Stegostoma tigrinum: one gene and its partners. The protein of the gene in region 1 interacts with the protein of each later gene in a pairwise test. Links are inferred from orthologs where the notes say so. Each region holds a gene or a part of one and is shown on either strand. Other genes may lie near its edges. The genes, in order: xrcc4, aplf and aptx.

Region 1 (7,896 bases):
GCAGCCTTGAGCAAACATAGTATAGTAGACTGTGAACATGAAGCAAAGTAGTGCAGATACTGGAAGTCTGAAACAAAACTCCAGAAGTCTGAAAAAACTCAGCAGGTGACACGCACATCTTAAACCTTTCTCAAACATGCAATGTTTCACTGTTTTATTTCATACTTCATCTGAATCTACTCTTCCTTTCAGGTCTTAAGGAAGGCAAGCTGTAATCACTCAGAAACTTCTTTCTGCCAGCATCTGGCCCATAATCCCGGCACCAAACATCAAACCATTCACAGGACTGTCACTGAATTAATTACCTCTGAAGAGCATTTCAACTTGTGAAATGTCCCTTCCTACATATGTCTTCCTATTTTGACCCCATTTTTTCTCAGATTGTCCAGTTGCTTCCCAAATACATCTGTGACTCTTGTGACAGGTTTAATTATTTCAAAAATTTCTACTTTCCTGATACGTCTTCCTTTTGTCTTAGTTACGAATACACAAGTACGTTACAAAAGTTGGGTGTTTGATATACAGTATAAAAAGACACTCATAATTAGTGTAGTTTTAATGATATAGTGGTTTGTTTTAAAGAAAGAGGGAAGTTACAATGATTCATAAACAGCAAGGAATTGTTATACAAATACCCAGGGTGACACATTGCTCAGCGCCTAATTGTAAGGAGCAATATACACAGCTGTATGAAATGCTTGATGAATTGCCATCATTCTGAGTCAACAATTGTGATTATTTCAAACTTAGAGGAACTAGAAGACACAGCAGCTTCTAAGGTTATAGCCCTTCCCTCCATCATAAGGTCATAAGTGGGGATGTTCACCAATAACTGCACCATGTTCAGCATCATTTGTGACTCCTCAGATACTGAAGCAGTCCATGTTCGAATGCAACAAGATATGGACAATACCCAGGCTTGGGCTGACAAGTGATAAGTAAAATTCATATCACACAAATACCACACAACAACCATCTCAAATAAAAGACAATCTAACCACTACCTTTTGACATGCAAAGGTGTTACCATCACTGAATTCCCCACTATCAATGTCCTGGGGTTTATCATTGACCAGAAAGTCAACTGAACTCATCACATAATCACAGTAGCTATAAGAGCGGATTAGAGGCTAGGAAACCCCAGAGACTAACTCACCACCTGGCTCCCCAAAGCCTATCCACATGAAAACAAAAGATATTCTATTGCATACAAGGCACAAGGACTGTGTTGGAATATTCCCTACTTGCCAGGACAGATGAAATTCCATCAGCAATCAGGAACCTTGACACCATCCAGGAGAAAGTAACCTGCTCAACTGGTACCACATTCCGTACCACCAATGCTCAGTCGCAGCAGTGTGTACTACCTGCAAGATGTTCTGCCCAAATTCACCAAAGATCCTGAGACAGCACCTTCTAAGCCCCCAACCACTTCCATCAGAAGGACAAGACCAGCAGATACATGGGAACTAGAAGTTCCCCTTCTAGCCACTCCCCATCCTGACTTGGAAATATATTGCTGTACCTGAGTCAAAATCCTGGAACTTCCCCTCTAACATCATTGAGGGTCAGCTACACCATGTGAATTGTTGAAGTTCAAGAAATCAGCTCACCTCTACCTTTTCAAGGGCAGCTAGGGATGAGCAATAAAAACTGGCCCAGTGAGCAACACCCACATCTCATTAGCGAATTAAAAACTAAATATTAATTGAGAAAACAGTACAAAACCTTGATCCCGATATTTTATTAAGTTTGAAAATTATCAATGAAAAGCATGCCCTTACTAACTGTAGCGACAATTTCACCAGAAAACACTGAATGTACAATTCCTCAAATGTGTGCCATCAGAATGTTAGTGGATATTTTAAAAGTTTAAAAAAAAGTCACAAATTAGAAGTCAAAGATGCGGTTACAGGTACCCTAATGGGTCCAAGTAATGTCTGGACCTTTATGGGATTTGTGGAGGATTTCCAATTTGGGCCCCTCCCACAACATCTTCTCCAGTAAATGGATACATCATTGCCACTGCTTCCTTCTCTCATCCAGAATTGGAAAAATTAACCCATTTTGCTTCCAAATTCCGACCTGCTCTCAATTAGTCTTCTCTGATGCTTCCATTCCTTTCCTTTAGTTCTGTTCCACTCAGTCCTTTGTCAACAGAGTAAAAAACTGTAATCTTACAGGCCCTTCTGTTCAGAAGTCATAACTGGGCTGAAAACATTAACTCTTTCTTACACCAGCACTATTGACAGACCTGCTGAGTTCTTTCAGCACTTTCTATTCTTATTTCAGATCTGCAGAATCTACAGTTTGATCAGATTTTTCTATTTGGTGCTAAGGGTAAAATTCTGTGCTGCCTGAAACATTAAATAAAGCAAGTGCTCAATTCTCCGGCATTTTCTGTTTTGATTCTGTATTTGATGACGATATTACATTACTCATTTTGTTGAACGAAAATAGAATTGATTTCTGCAATCTCTGCCATTTTTCCATTAAAAAATGACATTGACTGATTGAATGTAGGGCCATAGATCAGCAGGATGTAGTAATGCTTGAAAACTACAGGATGATTTCAGACTTTTAAGTGGCTTGCCAAACTCCTCCAAGGTTTAGATGACAAGGCCCACGAGTTTCCACTCCCTCAAATATGCATAAGAGGCCAGCATTTACAAGATGGGCAGAATGGCATCTGCCCGTTCTATATCTATTAAAGATACAGGGCTTCGCGGACTCCAGAGGGAAATCTCGCGGGCTTCAAAACGGCAAACATTTTGCTGTCATTTTCCATACGTTAAAAGGGCGTTTATAAACTCCCGCTTTCATAAAATGTGAAGCTAGACTATTCAATCGGATAGAGTTCATGCCAACTAACTGGTAAGGCAACCTAAAGTTATGACTTGTACCTTTAATGACCACACTGAGCAGAATCGGCCTAAGTGTACTGAATTTAAACGCTGAGCCTCCTTTGCCGCCGACGCTCTGCTGTCATGTATCTGGTCAATTTCACAGCGACATCAGGGCAAACGCAGAACGTTTCCGCAACTCCCGCCAATCGCAGCGCCTCACGGCCAGACACCCGCTTCCGATGACGTTTCACACAAACTTGGCGCTTGAGCCAGGGCCAGAGCCCCGTCTCACGTGAAGACGCCGTGTGTAACGTCATCGCAAATTGCCGGCGAGGGCGATGTGGAAGAGCGTTGTAGCCGCAATCGGTTCGAACGGGGAGTGCGTCACTTCCAGACCTGCCGGAAGTGTGATGTGGCTATGAAGTGTGCAGGATGGTGAGTGGGGTTTGTCTTTTTTTTGTTGTAGTGTGCAGGAAGTTATTAAGCAGCTTAGATTCTGATGTATGTGTGTGGGTTAGTGCGTTTATTTTTTACAGCCTCGTATCTTTTTGTTACTTGTCCGCCGTGTGATGGGAGGTCGGGAATAGAAGTGTATGGGATCAAGGCCTTCGGGTAACAGACTGTTTTCTGAGATAACAAGGTGTAGATCTGGATGAACACAGCAGGCCAAGCAGCATCACAGGAGCCGGAAGACTGACATTTCGGGGTCTGGACCCTTCTTCAGGCCCGAAACTTTAGCTTTCCTGCTCCTCTGATGCTGCTTGGCCTGCTGTGTTCATCCAGATCTACACCTTGTTATCTCAGATTCTCCAGCATCGGCAGTTCCCTCTGTCTTTGATCTGTTTTCTTCCGATTATACTGGCTTTTGTCGAAACATCTAATCCATACAAACAATAGAAGTACGTAAACGTGTAGACTGGCCAAACTTAGATGCACGTATTTGGTTCCAGAGTAATCAATTACTACGTGAAGTAATAGTTCAACAGCAAATCGCTTATTTTAAACAGTCTAAATTCCACATTGGAATCGCTTTCACTTTAAGTATTGACACAGTGCCCTTGCAGCCCGGCAGTAATGAAATGATGAATATATATGATTGTCCTCCATGGAAGATGATTGACTTGTGAGTTGTTTTCCCAAAATGGTTACAACGCAAGAGGCCATTTAGTCGGTTGTGGTTATGCCAGCTCTACCAAAGCAAATTATCTTATTCTTACTCTCTGTCCTTTCCCTGTAGCTTTGTACGTTTTCTTTCCCCCCCTTTTAAATTACGTTTTGAAAGCCAGCTTGTATCTGCACCTTCTGTACTCCGGTGATGTGTTCCTGACCACCTATGTAGGAAAGCCTTTTCCTCATGTTGTAGCCAGCTATTTATACGTTCAGTGATCTAAATGTTGCTGGATAGACCTGTGTTTATTGCCCATCCTTAACTGGCCTTGAGAAGATAGTGATGTTTTCTTGCATTGTAGCAGTCGTCAACATGCAGGAGCACTGATTGTACTATTAGAATTTTGCCCATGCAACATTGAAGGAGAAGCAATGTAGTTCCAAATTGGGAGTGGCTTCTGTTCAAGGATGGAACTTGAAGGGGACAGGAAGATGTGAATAGTGTTTCCTGAGCAAACTAATTAGACAAGATAAAGATGTATGAGTAGTGGGTCATTCAGCCCAATGAGATCATGTCTGGTCTGATCTGAATCCTCAGTTCCACATCACTGCCTTTTACTCTGACCCCTGACTCCCTTACTGATGATATGTCCTCCTGAGCCTGAAGTATACTTTATCCTAAAGGGCTGTTGAGGCTAAGTTTTAAAAACTTGAATAAAAACAAAATATGAAACAAACACCTGGAGAAATGCAGCAGATCGGACAGATCTTGAGAAAGAAGTAGAGTTAAAGTTTCAAATCTAGTGTGATTCTCCTTCAGAACCCTGACTCTTCTGAAGAAGAGTCATAGAAACAGAATTAACATTTCAAGTCCACTATCTCCACAGATGCTATTGGACCTACTGAGTTTCTCCAACTTTGTTCTCAGAGTCAATACTTTAGGATAGAAGGGCCCTCCCCGTCTCTGTTAAATGGATAATCCCTTAGACTAGGTCTAATCTCTCCACATCTACAGTCAGGCTGCCAGGTGTTCTTGTATGTGTCAGGCCCCAGGTAATCTTCTCATAATCACTGATTTTTTTCATTCACGAGATGAGGACATCGCTGGCTAGGCAGTATTTATTGTCCATCCCTAATTGTTCAGAAGGTAGTTAAGAGTCAACCACGTGACTATGAGTCTACAGTCACATGTAGGGCAGACCAGGTATGGGTGACAATTTCCTTCCCTAAAGAACTTCAGTGAACCACGTGGGTTTTTCTGACAATTGACAATGGATCCATGGTTATCATTAGATCGTTAGTTCCAGATATTTATGAAATTCAAATTCCACCATCTGCCATGGTGGGATTTGTACCCCAGTGCCCAGAACATTTGGATTAACAGTCATGTAGAAGAAGTCCATACAACCGTCGCACCTGCACCAGCTCTTCAAACAAGCATTGTCACCTTCTGCCAGTCTCCTGCTTTTTGCCTTATAACCTTGCACACTATTTCTATCCAAATTATCAGCCAATGCCCTCTCATGATTGAACCTACCTCCACCATAATCCAAATAGTTTATCTAAATGGAGTAAAACTGCAGAAAGCTGCCGCACTAAGACACTTGGCGATACTTATACACAAAACACTGAAAGCTAGCATACAAGTGGAATGGAATGTGAGTCCTTATTTCAAGGGGTAACAAAATGTGGAGCTGGATGAACACAGCAGGTCAAGCAGCATCTTAGGAGCACAAAAGCCGACGTCTTAGGCCTAGACCCTTCTTCAGAACGGGGATGGGGAGAGGGTTCTGAAATAAATAGGGAGAGAGGACCGAAGGTGGATAGAGGAGAAGAAAGGTGGAGAGGAGAAAGACAAGTTAAAGGCGGAGTGATGGAGCCTGTAGAGGTGAGTATAGGTGGGGAGGTAGGAGGGGATAGGTCAGTCTGGGGAGGGTGGACAGGTCAAGAGGGCGGGATGAGGTTAGGAGGTAGGGAATGGCAGTGTGGCTTGAGATGGGAGGAGGGCATAGGTGAGGGGAAGAACAAGTTAGGAAGGCGGGGACGAGCTGGGCTAGTTTTGGGATGCAGTGGGGGGAGGGGAGATTTTGAAGTTTGTGAAATCCACATTGATACCATTGGGTTGCAGGGTTCCAAAGCAGAATATGAGTTGCTGTTCCTGCAACCTTCGGGTGGCATCATTGTGGCACTGCAGGAGGCCCAGAATGGACATGTCGTCTAAGGAATGGGAGGGGGAGTTGAAATGGTTTGCGATTGGGAGGGGCAGTTGTTTGCGGCGAACCGAGTGTAGGTGTTCTGCAAAGCAGTCCCCAAGTGTCTGCTTGGTTTCCCCAATGTAGAGGAAGCCACAACGGGTACAGCGGATGCTATATACCACATTGGCAGATGTGCAAGTGAACATCTGCTTGATGTGGAAAGTCATCTTGGGGCCTGGGTTGGGGGTGAGGGAGGAGGAGTAGGCGCAAGTGTAGCACTTCCTGCGATGGCAGGGGAAAGTGCTGGGTGCAGTGGAGTTGGATGAGTGTGTGGAGCAGACAAGGGAGTTCCAGAGAGAGTGGTCTTTCTGGGAGGCAGACAAGGGTGGGCATGGAAAAATCTCTTTGAGATCAGATTGTAGATGGCGTAAGTGTTGCAGGATGATGTGTTGTATCCTGAGGTTGGTGGGGTGGTATGTGAGGACGAGGTGGATTCTCTTTTAGCAGTTATTGCGGGGATGGGGTGTGAGGGTTGGGGCGGTTATTTCAAGGGGGTTGGAGTATGGAGTAGGGACACCTTTCTACGACTGTGCAAGGTGCTGTTGATACACATCCAAAGTACTGAGAGTTGTTCCATCCCTTTATTTATGGAAATATATTATTTCATTGGAGGCAGTTCGGAGAAGATTCACTGAAATGATCTCTTGGTGTGGAGGGGTTGACTTATGAACAAGGGCTAAATAGTTTGAGTTGATACTCATTGGAATTTAGAAGAATGAGAGATCATTTCATTGAAACATTCAGAATTCTTAACGGGCTTATGGTAAAGGATGAGAGAAAGTTTCTCCCTCTTGGAAGAATCTAGGACATACTTGTAGAAATAAGGAGTGCAGAGGGATTTCTCCTGAGGATTGAGTGTCTCAACTGCTTGCCACAGAGCTGTGGGAGCAGAGTCCTTGTGCATGTGTAAAGTTGAGAGATTGTTGATCAATAGGGAAATCAAGTGTTGTGGGGAAATGCCAGGAAAGTGGATGTGAGGTGTACTGGATCGACCATGTTCCTGTTGAATGGTGGAGCAAGCTCCTGTTCCTATTTCTTGTGGTCTTCATGCATTCCATATCCTAACTATTCACTGCATGAAAGTTTTTTTTTCTCTCTCACCTCATCCTGCCTCTTCTGCAGACCACTTTTTAGCCTATGCTGTCTAATTTTTAAAAATCTTTTTTATAAGTGGGAACAGATTCTCACTATCCAGCGATCCATTTTGAAAACCTGTATCAAATCTCCTCTCTGCCACCTTTTGTCTGAAAATAACAGTCGCAACTTCTTCAATCTTTCTCCCTAACTGACATTTCTAATTTCTGGAACAGTTCTTTAAATCTCTTCTGCATTTTCACATCTGTAAATGTGGTACTTTCACTGTAAGAATGCTGCAGCTGAGGTCTAACAAGTGCCTTATACAAGTTCAACATCGTCATCTCTTGTATTCTATGCCTTTCTTATTAAATCTGAGTATACTGTGCTTTATTAACTGTTCTCTGCACTTACCCTGCCACCTCAATGTTTATTCTGTGTTGGAAGCCATCACTGAGTGATCTTCGTGCCCTTGAAGACCCCCCACCCCCACCCAACTGATCTAGTGCCTTTGAAGTACCCATATCCCTGAGTGATTTTTGTGTTACTGAAACCATGACCTTGGAGACAACTGTGTCTATAGGTCTGTCTGTTTGTGTTAAAATACTAGGTCA
Region 2 (7,118 bases), on another chromosome or scaffold:
GACCCGGGTTCAATTCCACCCTCAGGTGGCTGTCTGAGTGGAGTTTGCACATTCTCCCCGTGTCTATGAGAGTTTCCTCCGGGTGTTCCAGTTTTTCCCACAGTCCAAAGATGTACAGACTAGGTGGAATGGCCGTACTAAATTGCCCATAGTGCCCAGTGATGTTTAGATTAGGTGGGTTAAACATGAGAAATGCAGCAGTAGGGGAATGGATCTGGGTGGGATCCTGTTTGGAGGGGCAGTACGGACTTGTTGGGCCTTATTTGTCTAATAAAAACAAAGGCACAATTCATATTTGAGTGTTTTACAAATTCTGACTCCACCAATTTCAAATGCATCTCTTGGTACCTATGGATTCACCTTCACTGTCACTGGGTCAAAATACTAGAAATATCTCGCTGACAGTACTCTAGGTGTACCGATCCTAAAATGTACTGCAGCAGTTCAAAAAGGCACCTTCTCAAGGATAATTAAGAATGGACAATGAGTATTGGTCTAGCCAGTGATAGGGATACCACAATAGGGATTCTATGATGAAGACTGTAACCTGTTACCCCAGTAATCCAAACAGAATTCCATTTAAAGGACTAACTAAGCCTAACTCTAATCCTTTAGGGATGAGATTAAAAAAAACTGACTACAGGTATAAACTACTATCTGTATTTGCAGAAATTACACTGTTCAGGTAGAAACCTACTCACTGGTTTGATGCGTAACTTCTCATTGACAACTTCCAGGAGACCATGATTCCTGGACACTCGCTTATCGGAAACCTGAAAATGAAAAAATCCATTAAAAGAGTTATTTACTATTACAACAACATTGGATTTTCCTATTTGAATGCGCCATTCCCTTACTGAAAATAAATCAAGAATAGAGTGAACCAGAGCAGAAAATTTGTCAGACAGGTAGGGCGAGCAAGAAAATGCTATGAGAGGAGACAAATGATAAATTGGGAAATATATGTGGGTTTAGAGATTGGCAGTGGTAATGCCCCCATAATTTTTCTCCGTTGTGTGGTTTTATCCCTTTAAGATCCCTTATGGGGAATGTTGGTTGTATACGCCACATTCCTAATTGTTGCAGAGCCCCTGGGCAATTTAGTGGTTACACGGCAAGAGAAAGGAAGACCAATGACTGAACAGACACTCTCAAATTCAGCAACAATAAGCTTGCAGTTTCCTCATCTGTTATTAGAGATGAGGGTGCAGGCAGAGAGGTTCAGGGAGACAAATCATTGGAGAGAGATGGAGTGGAGATTTATCTTCACTTTCCAGGATTATCCTGGAGTAAGGAGACCCCATTCTGACAATGATTGATGTTGTATAATCAGGTTAGAACAAGAGATAGCTATGCCAATAAACATGCGTTGGACTACAGAAAGGTGGTAAAAACTCAAGTAAAACCAGAGGGAACAATTAAGATCAGGCTGTGATGGGTCTTCTACTGGACAAAATTATGAAACATGAAGTTGAGAACAACTCAGTGATTGCTGATGTGTGAAACGTTGGGATCTGGCAGCTGGGAGATATTTTTGTAAGTGTGTGCAACAAAGGAAGTGGGATTGAAAAGGAATAGTTATAATAGAAAAAATAGAGAAAGATCAGCAGGTCTGGCTTCACCTGTGGAGACAGAAACAGAGTTAATGCTGCAGTAGTGTATGACTCTACTTCCGAACAATAACCTCTTTTCTATTCACAGATGCTGATGAGTCTGCTGAATATTTCCAAGATTCATGGTTCAGTTTTCATTCTGATTAGTTATATTCTTACAATTGGCCACTCTTTAAGAGTAGAGAATGACAGCAAATTAGCCAGGAATTCCAAAATATTTCTACTGGAGACAAAGGCACTCAGAAGATGGGTTGAGACTAAGACTACTAATGCTACGGAGATGAAACTGTGCAGCATTTGTTCAGGACAGAAACTGAGATCAAAAGGCCAATGCTGAATCTATAGGAGGCCATGGTTGTGAACCTAGGTTGAGCCAGAGATCCAAAGCTGGCAGCAGAAGGCTTCAAGTTTGATCTCAAGGTCTTTAAGTTTATGAGAAGGGTTTTTAAGGGCAGAAGTGGAGGAGAGATTTTCAGAGTTTTGGTTTTCCCAAGAAATGAGTTACAAATGCAAAATCAAAAACAAAGTTGCTGGAAAAGCTCAGCAGGTCTGTGAAGGAAAAAACAGAGTTAACATTTCGGGTCTGGTGATCCTGCCTCAAAACTTTGTTTTTGTTCCTGATGTTTAACATCTCCAGTTCTTTTGGTTTTTAAAAATGCAAAGTGGTTATTTCCCAAGAGATACTCAGGAGAAACTTCCTCACTTGGAGATTGGAGAGGATGGGGACAGAGAAATATTGACACATTTAAAGGGAAAGCTGGATAGAAACACAAGGGAGAAAGGGTAAGGATACTCTGCTTGGGTTTGACGAGGAGGGTGAGTGGGAGCTCACGTGGAATGGGCATGAGCATGGGCCAGATGGGCTGAATGGCTTGTTTCTTCGGTAATCCGAGCGATCAGGTGAGATGCCATTTCCAGGGTTTTGTTTTGGGGTGGGGGATGTTAGGGTATGAAATCATTGTTAGAGCTGGTGGTCAGGTCAAGGGAACCCGTAAGGTTGGGTTTAAGAGTGGAGTAAGGGGATGGGGGGGGCGGGGGGTAAGGTCAGAGGTTGAGGAGGAAGAGGCATGGGACAGGTGTGAATGGTAGGGGTGAGAGGTAGGGCCTGAGGGACAGGGACAAGGAATGGGGCGGGGGTTGGTGGAGAAGGGATCTGGGGGGGTGGAGAAGGGACGGGGGCGGTCGTCTCTCACCCGGAGAAAAGGGCCGCGGCCTATGGCGGTCAGGCCTCCCGCGAGAGCGATGTTCCCGCTCCCGTCCTCGGGCTCCAGCTCCATCCTCCTCCCGTTCCTGGGAGGGAGCTCACATTCCTCCCCCTGGTTCCGACACAAGCTCGCCCTTCGCCGGCACCGGGAACGAGCTACACCGTAAGAACGCTCCGAACTACAACTCCCAGGCTCCTTCGCGGGGGCCTGCGCACTTGTGGAGGGCCGCCCACCCCGCGCGGCACGAATGCGGAAACGGTGCGCGAGCGAGTGACGTCGCAGAAAAACAAATATCAACGGCCGGAGATTTAAACTGAAAACAAACAAGATCCGAATAAAGTGAGAGTGAGACAGAGAGAGGGGGCAATGGGAACGGGAGAAGAGGAAGAGTGGGAATGGGGAGAGTGGGAAAGGGGAACAGGGAGAAGGGGGAGAGTGGGAATGGGGAGAGTGGGAAAGGGGAACAGGGAGAAGGGGGAGAGTGGGGATGGGGAGAGTGGGAAAGGGGAACAGGGAGAAGGGGGAGAGTGGGGATGGGGAGAGTGGGAAAGGGGAACAGGGGGAAGGGGGAGAGTGGGAAGGGGGAGAGTGGGAAAGGGGAACAGGGGGAAGGGGGAGAGTGGGGATGGGGAGAGTGGGAAAGGGGAACAGGGGGAAGGGGGAGAGTGGGGATGGGGAGAGTGGGAAAGGGGAACAGGGGGAAGGGGGAGAGTGGGGATGGGGAGAGTGGGAAAGGGGAACAGGGGGAGAGTGGGGAGGGGGAGAGTGGGGATGGGGAGAGTGGGAAAGGGGAACAGGGAGAAGGGGGAGAGGGGATGGGGAGAGTGGGAAAGGGGAACAGGGAGAAGGGGGAGAGTGGGAAAGGGGAACAGGGAGAAGGGGGAGAGTGGGAAAGGGGAACAGGGAGAGTGGGGATGGGGAGAGTGGGAAAGGGGAACAGGGAGAAGGGGGAGAGTGGGGATGGGGAGAGTGGGAAAGGGGAACAGGGAGAAGGGGGAGAGTGGGAAAGGGGAACAGGGAGAGTGGGAAAGGGGAACAGGGAGAAGGGGGAGAGTGGGGATGGGGAGAGTGGGAAAGGGGAACAGGGAGAAGGGGGAGAGTGGGAAAGGGGAACAGGGAGAGTGGGAAAGGGGAACAGGGAGAAGGGGGAGAGTGGGGATGGGGAGAGTGGGAAAGGGGAACAGGGAGAAGGGGGAGAGTGGGGATGGGGAGAGTGGGAAAGGGGAACAGGGAGAAGGGGGAGAGTGGGAGAGGGGAACAGGGGGAAGGGGGAGAGTGGGGATGGGGAGAGTGGGAGAGGGGAACAGGGGGAAGGGGGAGAGTGGGGATGGGGAGAGTGGGAGAGGGGAACAGGGGGAAGGGGGAGAGTGGGGATGGGGGGAGTGGGAGAGGGGAACAGGGGGAAGGGGGAGAGTGGGGATGGGGGGAGTGGGAGAGGGGAACAGGGGGAAGGGGGAGAGTGGGGATGGGGGGAGTGGGAGAGGGGAACAGGGGGAAGGGGGAGAGTGGGGATGGGGAGAGTGGGAGAGGGGAACAGGGGGAAGGGGGAGAGTGGGGATGGGGAGAGTGGGAGAGGGGAACAGGGGGAAGGGGGAGAGTGGGGATGGGGAGAGTGGGAGAGGGGAACAGGGGGAAGGGGGAGAGTGGGGATGGGGAGAGTGGGAGAGGGGAACAGGGGGAAGGGGGAGAGTGGGGATGGGGAGAGTGGGAGAGGGGAACAGGGGGAAGGGGGAGAGTGGGGATGGGGAGAGTGGGAGAGGGGAACAGGGGGAAGGGGGAGAGTGGGGATGGGGAGAGTGGGAAAGGGGAACAGGGAGAAGGGGGAGAGTGGGGATGGGGAGAGGGGAACAGGGAGAAGGGGGAGAGTGGGGATGGGGAGAGTGGGAGAGGGGAACAGGGGGAAGGGGGAGAGTGGGGATGGGGAGAGTGGGAGAGGGGAACAGGGGGAAGGGGGAGAGTGGGGATGGGGAGAGTGGGAGAGGGGAACGGGGGAAGGGGGAGAGTGGGAGAGGGGAACGGGGGAAGGGGGAGAGTGGGGATGGGGAGAGTGGGAGAGGGGAACAGGGGGAAGGGGGAGAGGGGGAGAGTGGGGATGGGGAGAGTGGGAGAGGGGAACAGGGGGAGAGTGGGGATGGGGAGAGTGGGAGAGGGGAACAGGACGGTGAAGGGGTATGGGGAGGAGATGGGTGGGTAGTGTGGGGTGGGCTCAGGGCGGAGGTGGCAGGTCATGGGGAGAGAGGGCAGGGGTAAAGTGAAGGGGAGCAAGGATGGGAGTAGGAGAGAGTGGGGGCAACTGATGTTGAAATGGGCAAGTAGTAGAAACCGAGAAGGCAGTACCTCCCAGAAGTCAGCAACTTCTCAAATTTCAAATCTAACATTGGCCTTGCTTTTTGTGCACCTTCTTTACAACCATAACTTTGTATTCCTTGCTCTGTTCAATCACCCTTTAATCTTTGTATGTTATGATCTGCCTGTACTGCATGCAAACAAAACTTTTCACTGTACTTAGGTACATGTGACAATAATAAATCAAATCAAATACATGTCAAATCAGGACAGTCATCATCTCCAGGTTATTAACCATGGAACATGATAAATGAGTTATTGGTTGTATGATGAACACCGAAAAGCATTGATAGAGGATGGGGTTTTAAAAAAGAATTGCCAGGTTAAACAACAAACATGTACAAAAAGGACAGGTTAAACTATTACAGACTAAAACATGAACTTTACAGATTCAAAGATAACACGAACAATACATGGATAAGCTGTGTGGACTGGTGTTTTACAAGAGATCTCTCAGTTTGAAGGTTAAGGTACAGACTCAGGTTATACAAATAATAGTGGTGGCATAACCTGGTGTAAATTGGTAATTTGCAATACAGAACCCAATGACATATTCCAGATTTACAGATAACAGGTGAGCAGATAAAACTCATATGCCAAACCCTTTCTGCTAGTAATGAAATCAGTAATTGCTCTAAAAAGTCAGCAGGTCTGGCAGCGTCTGGGGAAAAAACAGCAAAATAAACTTTTCAGGCCCAGTGACCCTTCTTCAGAACCTTCACTGGACCAGAAATGTTAACTAACCTTTATTTCTTCACAGATGCTGCCAGACCTGGTGAGTTTTTCCAGAAATTTTTGATTTTGCTCCTGATTTCCAATGACTGCAGTTCTTTGGATTTTCCTTTCTGCTAATACTCTGCTGTGCATCTTGAACATTAAAAAATCTAAAATAGGAATAAATCTGTAAACAATATTTTTCAGAGGCCTGCAGAGTAGTACGTGGCTTGATGAAAAGACACTGAGGAGCCAATAGACAACCAAAAGAAAGGAGACAAAAGAAAAGCAACAATGATGGTGATGGAAGAAATTCACAAAAAAGAAAAGATGAGTAACAAATAGATTGTCAAGAAGTTTGGTGACAAAGTCTTATGTCAGTAAGACAGAAAATCAACCAATAAGACTAGTTAAAATTTGATTTGGTTTGTTTTGAAAGATCTTTTGAGATTCTGGAACAAAAAACTATGCAAAGGTCTTGCAAAAGAAATAAGCAAATTGCTAATGGTGAAGACAAAACTGTTTTCTCCGCTGTGCAGAAAAAGCTACAAAATCGTTTTGATTTTGCCCAGTTTTTGCCTCAAGAGTTAACTCTGAAAATTTTCAGTGAACTGGACGTTCGAAGCTTGTCTAATGCTGCAATGACTTGCAAAGCGTGGAATGATCTGATCGAAACCAGTGACAGCCTTTGGTACAATCATTGCCTGACCATATTGGCTGTCTGCAAGCGGGAGCTGCAGTGGGATCGAGCACATGGACTTTCATGGAAGGTTTGTGCAATTGGCAATCATTTACATGAAAGTTTAGGCATTTTTATTGTCCAGCTGCCCCCCGGTTCCTTTTTACTCAGTGTTTCACTGACACTTTTGTTTCTCTTCTCTTTTTCACCAGTATTCTCCCTGCTGTAAGTGCAAACGTTATCAGAATGGGAACAGTTTAAGAAGAATGCTCATTCCATCCAGCAGGGAGCAGCGTGCACTTTTGATATAAATAATTATTAGCAAAGCACAGGATAGACAAATGTGGTAGTGCCAATGACTACATGAGATGAGGACGACTATGATAGATGTTAAGAGGATCTGAAAAGGCTGGTGGAGTGGGCACCATAGGGTAAACCAGGTAAACAGTGATGTAGTGATAATGTCTTTGGACTAGTACTACTGCTACTGCTCTGGAGATGTGGATTCAGTTGTGGACAGGCCAGTTTGGAAAGAACATGAAGGTTTTGGAGAGAATACAG
Region 3 (7,749 bases), about 68 Mb from region 1:
GCTGATCTTTAAGAGGCCCTATTCTCTCCTTAGTTATCCTTTTATCGTTAATGTATTTGTAGAATCCCTTTGAATTCTCCTTAAACCTATTTGCCAAAGCTATCTCACGCCCCCTTTTTGCCCTCCTGATTTCCCTCTTAAGTATACGCCTACAGCTGCCTTTTGACTCTTCTAAGGATTCACTCTATCTCTGCTGTCTGTACCTGACATACACTTCCTTCTTTTTCTTGACCAAAACCTCAACTTCTCTCGTCATCCAGCATTCCCTACACGACCAGCCTTGTCTTTCACCCTAACAGGAACAAACTGTCTCTGGACTCTCATTATGCCATTTTTGAATGCTTCCATTTTCTAGCTATTCCTTTAGTTGTGAACATCTACTTCCAACCAACTTTTGAATGTTATTGCCTAATACCATAAAAATTGGTCTTCCTCCCATTTAGAGCGTTAACTTTTAGGTCTGGTCTATCCTTTTCCGTCACTGTTTTAAAACTAATAGAATTGCATGAAACAAAACTTGGAATTAAAATTAAAGCTTGGAATGCTCTGTAGACACACTTGTTTTATAAAAAAAACATGAGTGAATATGACAATGTTGTCTATTATAAATAAAATGACATTACCGCATCAAAAAGGACTGATATAGCAAAGAAAAATTGCACTTTTATTAAATCATAGGATGTGGACTTCCCCGGCAAGGCCAGCGTTGATGCCTATCTGTAATTACTTGTGAAGGTAGCAGTGACCTGCCTTCTGGATGTACTGCAGACCATCTGAAGTGACTTTTAAGGATCTGAGCCAGTAATATCAAGGAACAACAATACATTTCAAGGTTAAGTTAGTGAAAATTGTAAGTGCTGATGTTTGATAAGCCTGCTGTCCCTGTCTTCCTAAATGATAGAAATTGAGAATTCTAATGTTTTTGAGTAGATCTGTAGCTCGGGTGATGGATGTTATGGTTGGTTGGTTTGCTGAGCTGGTTTGTTGTTCCACAGACTTTTCAGTACCCTGCTGGGCAACATCATCAGTGCAGCATCCGATTAAGTGCTGTTGTGTTTTCCAGCCTGGTATTTAAACTCTGTCAACAGATAACAAGAACCAAGAAAAGACAGTTTCTTCAAGAAATCGAAAATTGAGAGTTCAAAACTCAACACAGCAAATCGTGGACTAAATTCTGCTACTTAATAAATTAAGAATAAAGGTAGTGATCATGTAACTACTGATGTTATCAAAATACACTTGATTCATTAATGTCCTTTCAGAAAGGAAGGTGGCCATTTTTGCCAACTCATCCTATATTGACGCCAGACCTATATCAATGTGGTTGGCTCTTAAGTTCCCTCTAAAATGGATTTAGGCAGCCATGAAGACAGTTGAGCAACAACTACTCAAGGTTTATTAGAATGGGCAATAAATACTGACATTACTAATGACAGCCATGTTGTAACTGAGATAAACCTACAACAGGTTGTCTTTTAAAGTGCTTCAGGAATGAGAACAGATCTGATATATTTGATCAAGTTAGAAGGCACATTACTCAACATTCCACCAATGCAATATCTGAACTTAAAATAGCCAATGTTGATACTTGGTCTTTAGGTTCCTCAATTCCTATCAATTGCCTGAATATTCAAGAAGCATTTAAAATACCAGGGCATACTAGGATATGGGACCAAGTGCAAGTTTAGTTAGGTATTTGTTGATCAATATAGACATGGTGGGCCGGACAGCCTGTTTCCACACTGTATGACTCTGATAAGGTACATATAGAGCTTTCAAGGCATGTGGGGTATGGGAGGAAGGGAGAGGTGTCCATAGCTGCCCAACACAAATATAACAGAAAACTCCAATAGAGACTTCAGAAGAAACTTCTTTACACAGAGTTAGGTGTTTGTTTTTGACTGGCATGGATACAGAAGGGGCTTTTTCTGTACTGTAGATTTCCTGTGACTTCCAGAGTGATGGGAATGTGAAACTCACTTCAAAGTGCTGCAGCTCCGCTTTAGACACAATCAGTTGAACGGACTCCTTTGTTACAACAATTCTGTGATTTTGAGTAGGTGAGGCAGAAAAAAACATGGATGCAGTTAAGGGGAAAGCTTGATATGTGTATAAGGGAAAAAAAGAACATACGCTAAAGAAAAATAAGAAAAGTATAGCGGGAAATGTAAATGCTAGCACATGAGTTGGTGTGAATAGCTTGTTACATCATTTTCTTTTATAGTCTCAAAAGAGAGCTACTTTTATCCCTTTTCAGTTCTGGTATCCAAGATTTCCCCGACCATATTTAGTAAAGGCATTGACTTGTACAATTCATAATACAATCAATCTTTAATTCATTTACAATAGTCAACCATGGATACATCATTCACAGTTACAGCAACAGATATTGGCCACAATACACAGCTACATTTCGAACTACAATTAACAAAGTCTAGGGCATACAGATAACTTGGAGTTTAAATTATTCTTTGGTAACACTTTTGGCAGCACAAACATAATCAGTTTAGCACTACATCAAAAATATGTAAACAAATGAGTCATTTTGAATTGTCATTTTCAAATCAGTTATTGTAAAGCATACATTCCACAGACAAACTCAAACTTGTAGTGGGATGCAGCCGTCACTGCCTAAGCTGGCATTTATTACACGTCCCTAACTGCTCTTGAGAAGGTTATGGTGAATTACCATCTTGAACCACTGCAGTCCATGTGGCGAAGACAGTTACACTGTTATTTGGGATTTTGACACAGCAACAGTGAAGGATGGCAAAATAGTTACAAGTCAGGATGGTGCGTGGTTTGGAGGAAAACTAGCAGATGATGGTGTTCCCATGCATAAGCTTTCATTGTCTTGTCAGTGACTATTATTTTGGAAGGTACTGCCCAAAGAGAAAACTCTAAATATCTAGTCAATAACACTGATTTGCTCTAATTTATTACTCTTTGTCAAAATAAATGTTATGTTCATACAAAATGTTACCAGAACAAACAGGAGTAGGCCATTCAGTTTCCTCAAGCCTACACTGCCATTCAACAGCATCATGGCTGATGCGACACATTCCCTAAATCCACTTTCCTCATAACCCTTAAGGAAAGGCTAGGAAAACCTGGATTGTCTTCTCTTGAGTGGCGCAGGCTGAGGGGATACTTGATAGAAGTCTATAAATTATAAAGATGCACAGAAAAGGTTGATGGTCAGAATCTCTTTTCCTGAGTTGAAATAACAAATACAATGGAGCATGCATTAAAGGTGAAGGCGGGGGTGGGCAAGTTCAAATGAAATGTGAGAGGCAAGTGTTTTTTTTGCAGAGAGTGGTAGGAGTCAGGAACACACTGCCAAGGGTGGTGGTGGAGGCAGATACAATCAGAGCATTTAAAGGACTTTTAGATAAGCACATGAATACGCAAGGAATGGAAGGATAAGGACCAATGGAAGGCAGGAGGGATTAGTTTCATTTGGCGTCATGTTCGGCACAACATCATGGGTCGAAGGGCCCGATTCTATATCTCTAAAACTGCTCAAAGTATTCCAGATGTTTTCTCACCAGGACCTTGTACAGTCGCAGTAAGACTTCCCTACTCTTACATTTCTATCTCTAATCACAATACACTTAGCCTAATCAATGCAAACAGTAATCTATCATTGAAGCAAACATAAAAATGAACTCCTGGCTTACTAAACACCACACAAACCTACAGCTCACAGAAGAATGAAAAATATATAAAAACTTATACCACTGGCAGGAGATTGGCTCCTTCAGAGACACCACAATTCAAATGGGTTCTTTCTGTGCTGTAACATTCCTTCTAATTGAGGCCGCACCAAACTGCAATTCTGTGAAAAATTCCAGTGGAGTAGTCATGCAAAAATCTCAAAGTTTAACTCCTCCGGTGCAACATCAAACCCAAGAACCAACTGCTTAATCGGATGCTTCAGCTAATTACTAAAGCTTCCATTTTCACTTTGAGACATAGCCAACACTCAAACAGCAATCAATATTAGATAAATTCATAGAATCCCTACAGCTTGGAAACAGGCCCTTCAGCCCAACAAGTCCACAACGACCCTCAGAGCATACAACCCAGACCCACCATCCACCTAATCTTCACATCTTTGAACACTATTGGCAATTTTGCATTGCCAATCCACCTACCCTGCACATCTTTGGACTTTGGGAGGAAACAGGAGCACCCAGAGGAAACCCACACAGACACAGGGAGAATGTGCAAACTTCACATAGAAGGTTGTCCGAGGGTGGAATCAAACCTGGGTCCCTCGTACTGACAGGCAGCAGTGCTAACCACTGTATGACAACCAATTATTTGGTCTTACTCAGTTGAGAGACAAAAAGTATCTGCATATGCTAGAATCCAATCAGTACCCAAAATGTTGGCTGCTCCTTTCTTCCAGGTGCTGTCTGGCAGGCTGTGTTCTTCCAGCCTCCTGTTTGTCTTTGTCAAAATTCTCTCTTAAATCGTCCAAACAACAAATAATTGTAATTAAAAAGAGAAAATGTTGGCAATATCATATCAGTTTGTGGAGAGGGGGAAAAAACAAGAGTACTAAGGTAGAGATAGTAGGAACTGCTGATGCTGGAGAATCTGAGGTAACATAACAGCTATGAAGCTGGATGCACACAGCAGGTCAAGCAGCACCAGAGGAGCTGGAAAGTTTGACGTTTCAGGTCGAGACCCTTCTTCAGAAAATGTTCATCCAGCTTCAGACCGTGTCATCTAAGAGTAATAAGGTAACATTTTCTTAAAAACAGTGAGTTATGACCTAGATGGGCTACCTGAAAGACAGGAGGAAGCAGATTAAATGTAGTGAATTTCAAAAGGGAATCAGGTAAGTATTTGAGAAGGAGGAATTTGCAAGGTTTCTGCCGGAAATAAGCAGAGGATCTGGGATAAACTGAAAAGCTCTTTCAAAGAGCCAGCGCAGTTTATGATACCAAAGGGACTGCGACCAGAACAACAAATGAGATTCTCTGATACAACAAGGTGTGGAGCTGGATGAACACAGCAGACAAGCAGCATCGGAGGAGCAGGAAGGCTGACGTTATGGGCCTAGACCCTTCATCAGATCCTCTTCCTCGCCATCAGTCCCCGGCTCACGACGGCTACATCGTCTGGTTTTTTCAACGAACACTCAACCTGTGTCAGGGAATGAGGGAAGGAACCGAGAAGGTTTGACAAAGAATTTTCGACACTTCACTTCCGATACAGCTATCTATGTCATTAAGCCGGTCGCCTTTACACTCGCGAGACGGTCAGTGACAAGAGCTCCCGCCTTACAAAGATGGCGTCCACGCGGCTTTTCCTCTACGGTGCGCGCATGCGCGGCGCAAGTTGCACATGCGTGATCTAAAGCTGGGGTGTCGCAGTGCACGTCGGGGAACACTTTCAATTGCTTTTTGAAAATAAATAGTTAAATCGTAGAGCGATGTGGGAAACCTAAGTGACACGTTTGCTCTTTAAAGTGTTACCCAGGCCCTGGTGTGGGAGTTAGCTGGCTGCGGTTTTGTTTTTTTTTTAAACAGCTTTCCTGAGCGGAGCCTTTGGGCCCACTGATTCCAGGGACTGTCAGACCTGCTGCAGTCAGGTAGGACTAGCTTCAACAATGAGCGTGGGTAGAGGTCCATTAATAGCCCTCAAGGAAATTGGGTACACTCATGAAAAGGAAACACGTAGGAGAGTAGGACTAGTGTTTTCAGACAGCCAGCACAGGAATGACTGGTCTGCCTTGCGTCATCATTCTAGTTAGCTCTTCTACACGTTGTAATTTAAGCCGCATCACTTTAAACATTTTTAATAGCTTTGCAAAAGTAATGGCTGTTACCCGTAAGCTGAAAGACGTTCACTTTTGTCTCCGGAGGCGATTGTTTGAGTCTTCTCACGAGAAGCCTTGAGACAACACTCTAACGCAGTCCTGAGGAAGTGTCACGTTATCAGGGATTTCTTTCCAATGATATTTAATTTGAGACCTCATTCTCCCCCTCAATAAGATAATCTGTTCACTGTGACACTGGAGTGAATGAGACCATGATATGAACAAATCAGATGTCCGGTGTCCTATATTAGAGCTGTGGCAACATATCTAAAGCAATAGGTTTAAGCTGCTTTTGGATTATGAAAGGTGCAAGAAGATGCAAGTTCTTCTTGCTTTCAATTTGAATGATTATAAAATTACAGTACATTTGTTTCCTACCCAGTGCTATTGCTTTAGCTTGCTTAGCACTTCATTTAGATTAGGTTTGAACGTCAGTGTCCTGGTTGGTTAAATTGTAGCCAATTTTTTATTAAAGAAAACTGTTAGTTTGTATTTCTTTGATTTTGGAGCTGTGGATTTGTACAGAATAAATGAATCCTTAAGTGCTAAATTGATTTAGGTTTTTAATAATTGAACACATTACAATGGAGACTTACATCTTTATAGTTTTTAACATTGTGGTGATTTATGAGCAATTGTGAAACAAGACAACACAGATCCTTGTAAGGATGTAATAGGACAAATGGCCAACAGCTCTGTCAGACACATACTTTAGGGAATGCCTTAAAGAAGGAGAGAAATAAAGAGGTTCATGGAAGGAATTTCACAACTTTGGCCTTTGGAGCTGAATGCATTGTATACAGCATTGGGAGGTTATAATGAACAAGAGACGATTTGGCATACAGAGACCTTGGACAGTTAGAAGATAAGGGATATCTCTGAGTGTAACTAATTTTCTGTCTTGCAGAATAATGCGAGTTTGTTGGTTGGTTAGTAAAGATGGGAGGCACCAACCAATACAACTGGCACACTTAGTCTGTGTTATGATTGGAAGGAGTCCTGAAACCAAAATAACAGATAAAAAATGTTCACGGCATCAAGGTGAGTGGTAACTTTTTTTGTATGAAATTTCCAACGGCTTCAAAACAAATTGGATATTGCTTAGAAATCAGTAGGTTAGAGATATTTGCAAGCTGAAATGACCAAACTGGAGGAGAAAATGGCTCTATTGGCATGGAGATAATGTCCTTGGGAAACTGGGTTGAATACAAGGGATCTGTGGACTGGAGTAGGGTCAGTAGTTTAATCAAATTTGTTCAAGAAACATTAAGCAGAACGTTCCATATTAGATAACTAAGTGTGGGGCTGGATGAACTTAGCAGGCTAAGCAGCATCTTAGGAGCACAAAAGCTGATGTTTCGGGCCTAGACCCTTCATCAGAAAAGTGGGATGGGGAGAAGATTCTGAAATAAGTAGGGAGGTGGACTGAAGATGGGTGGAGAGAAGAGTATGGGTGGGGAGGTAGGGAGGGGATAGGTCAAGGGGGTGGGATGAGGTTAGTAAGTAGGAAATGGAGGTGTGGCTTGAGGTGGGAGGAGGGGATAGGTGAGAGGAAGAACAGGTTAGGGAGGCTGGGACGAGCTGGGCTGGTTCTGGGATGCAGTGGGGGGAGGGAGATTTTGAAGCTGGTGAAATCCACATTCATATTAGATGTTTTGGCGACTTGATGAGCTAGACGCTGAAAGGATACTTTCTTTCATGAGGGAATCGAGAGCTACAAAGTAAAGGTTCAATTTACGATGGAATTTCCTTCCTCCAGTGAGCCGTGGAGGCTTTTCATTGAATATATTTCAGGCTGAATAATAGATTTTTGATTGAAAAAGCAGTCAAGGAATGAGCGGGATAAGAGTCAGGCAAGAAAGTGGAGCTCAGGCCACAGTCAGATCAGCTGTGATGTGACCTTTTGGCTAGTGGAG

Evidence for each region.
Region 2: the proteins of xrcc4 (region 1) and aplf interact in binary tests that used the Homo sapiens proteins (3 or more experiments, as listed by UniProt). The link is inferred for Stegostoma tigrinum from reciprocal best matches to the Homo sapiens genes XRCC4 and APLF.
Region 3: the proteins of xrcc4 (region 1) and aptx interact in binary tests that used the Homo sapiens proteins (3 or more experiments, as listed by UniProt). The link is inferred for Stegostoma tigrinum from reciprocal best matches to the Homo sapiens genes XRCC4 and APTX.

What each region holds. Positions count from the first base shown.
Region 1 is NC_081356.1:98,392,308-98,400,203, forward strand, and holds the start of xrcc4 (DNA repair protein XRCC4), read right to left. Parts: upstream 3,098-7,896; 5' UTR 2,904-3,097; intron 1-2,903. Other genes in the region: tmem167a (protein kish-A), read left to right, coding at 3,279-3,281.
Region 2 is NC_081362.1:4,504,402-4,511,519, reverse strand, and holds the start of aplf (aprataxin and PNK-like factor), read right to left. Parts: upstream 3,050-7,118; 5' UTR 2,891-3,049; coding exon 2,807-2,890; intron 2,514-2,806; exon of another isoform or gene 2,422-2,513; intron 774-2,421; coding exon 702-773; intron 1-701. Other genes in the region: F-box only protein 48, read left to right, coding at 6,346-6,648. UniProt on the Homo sapiens protein: Histone chaperone involved in single-strand and double-strand DNA break repair.
Region 3 is NC_081356.1:29,977,044-29,984,792, reverse strand, and holds the start of aptx (aprataxin), read left to right. Parts: upstream 1-4,660; 5' UTR 4,661-4,751; intron 4,752-5,010; exon of another isoform or gene 5,011-5,190; intron 5,191-5,352; exon of another isoform or gene 5,353-5,605; intron 5,606-6,740; 5' UTR 6,741-6,744; coding exon 6,745-6,874; intron 6,875-7,749. UniProt on the Homo sapiens protein: DNA-binding protein involved in single-strand DNA break repair, double-strand DNA break repair and base excision repair.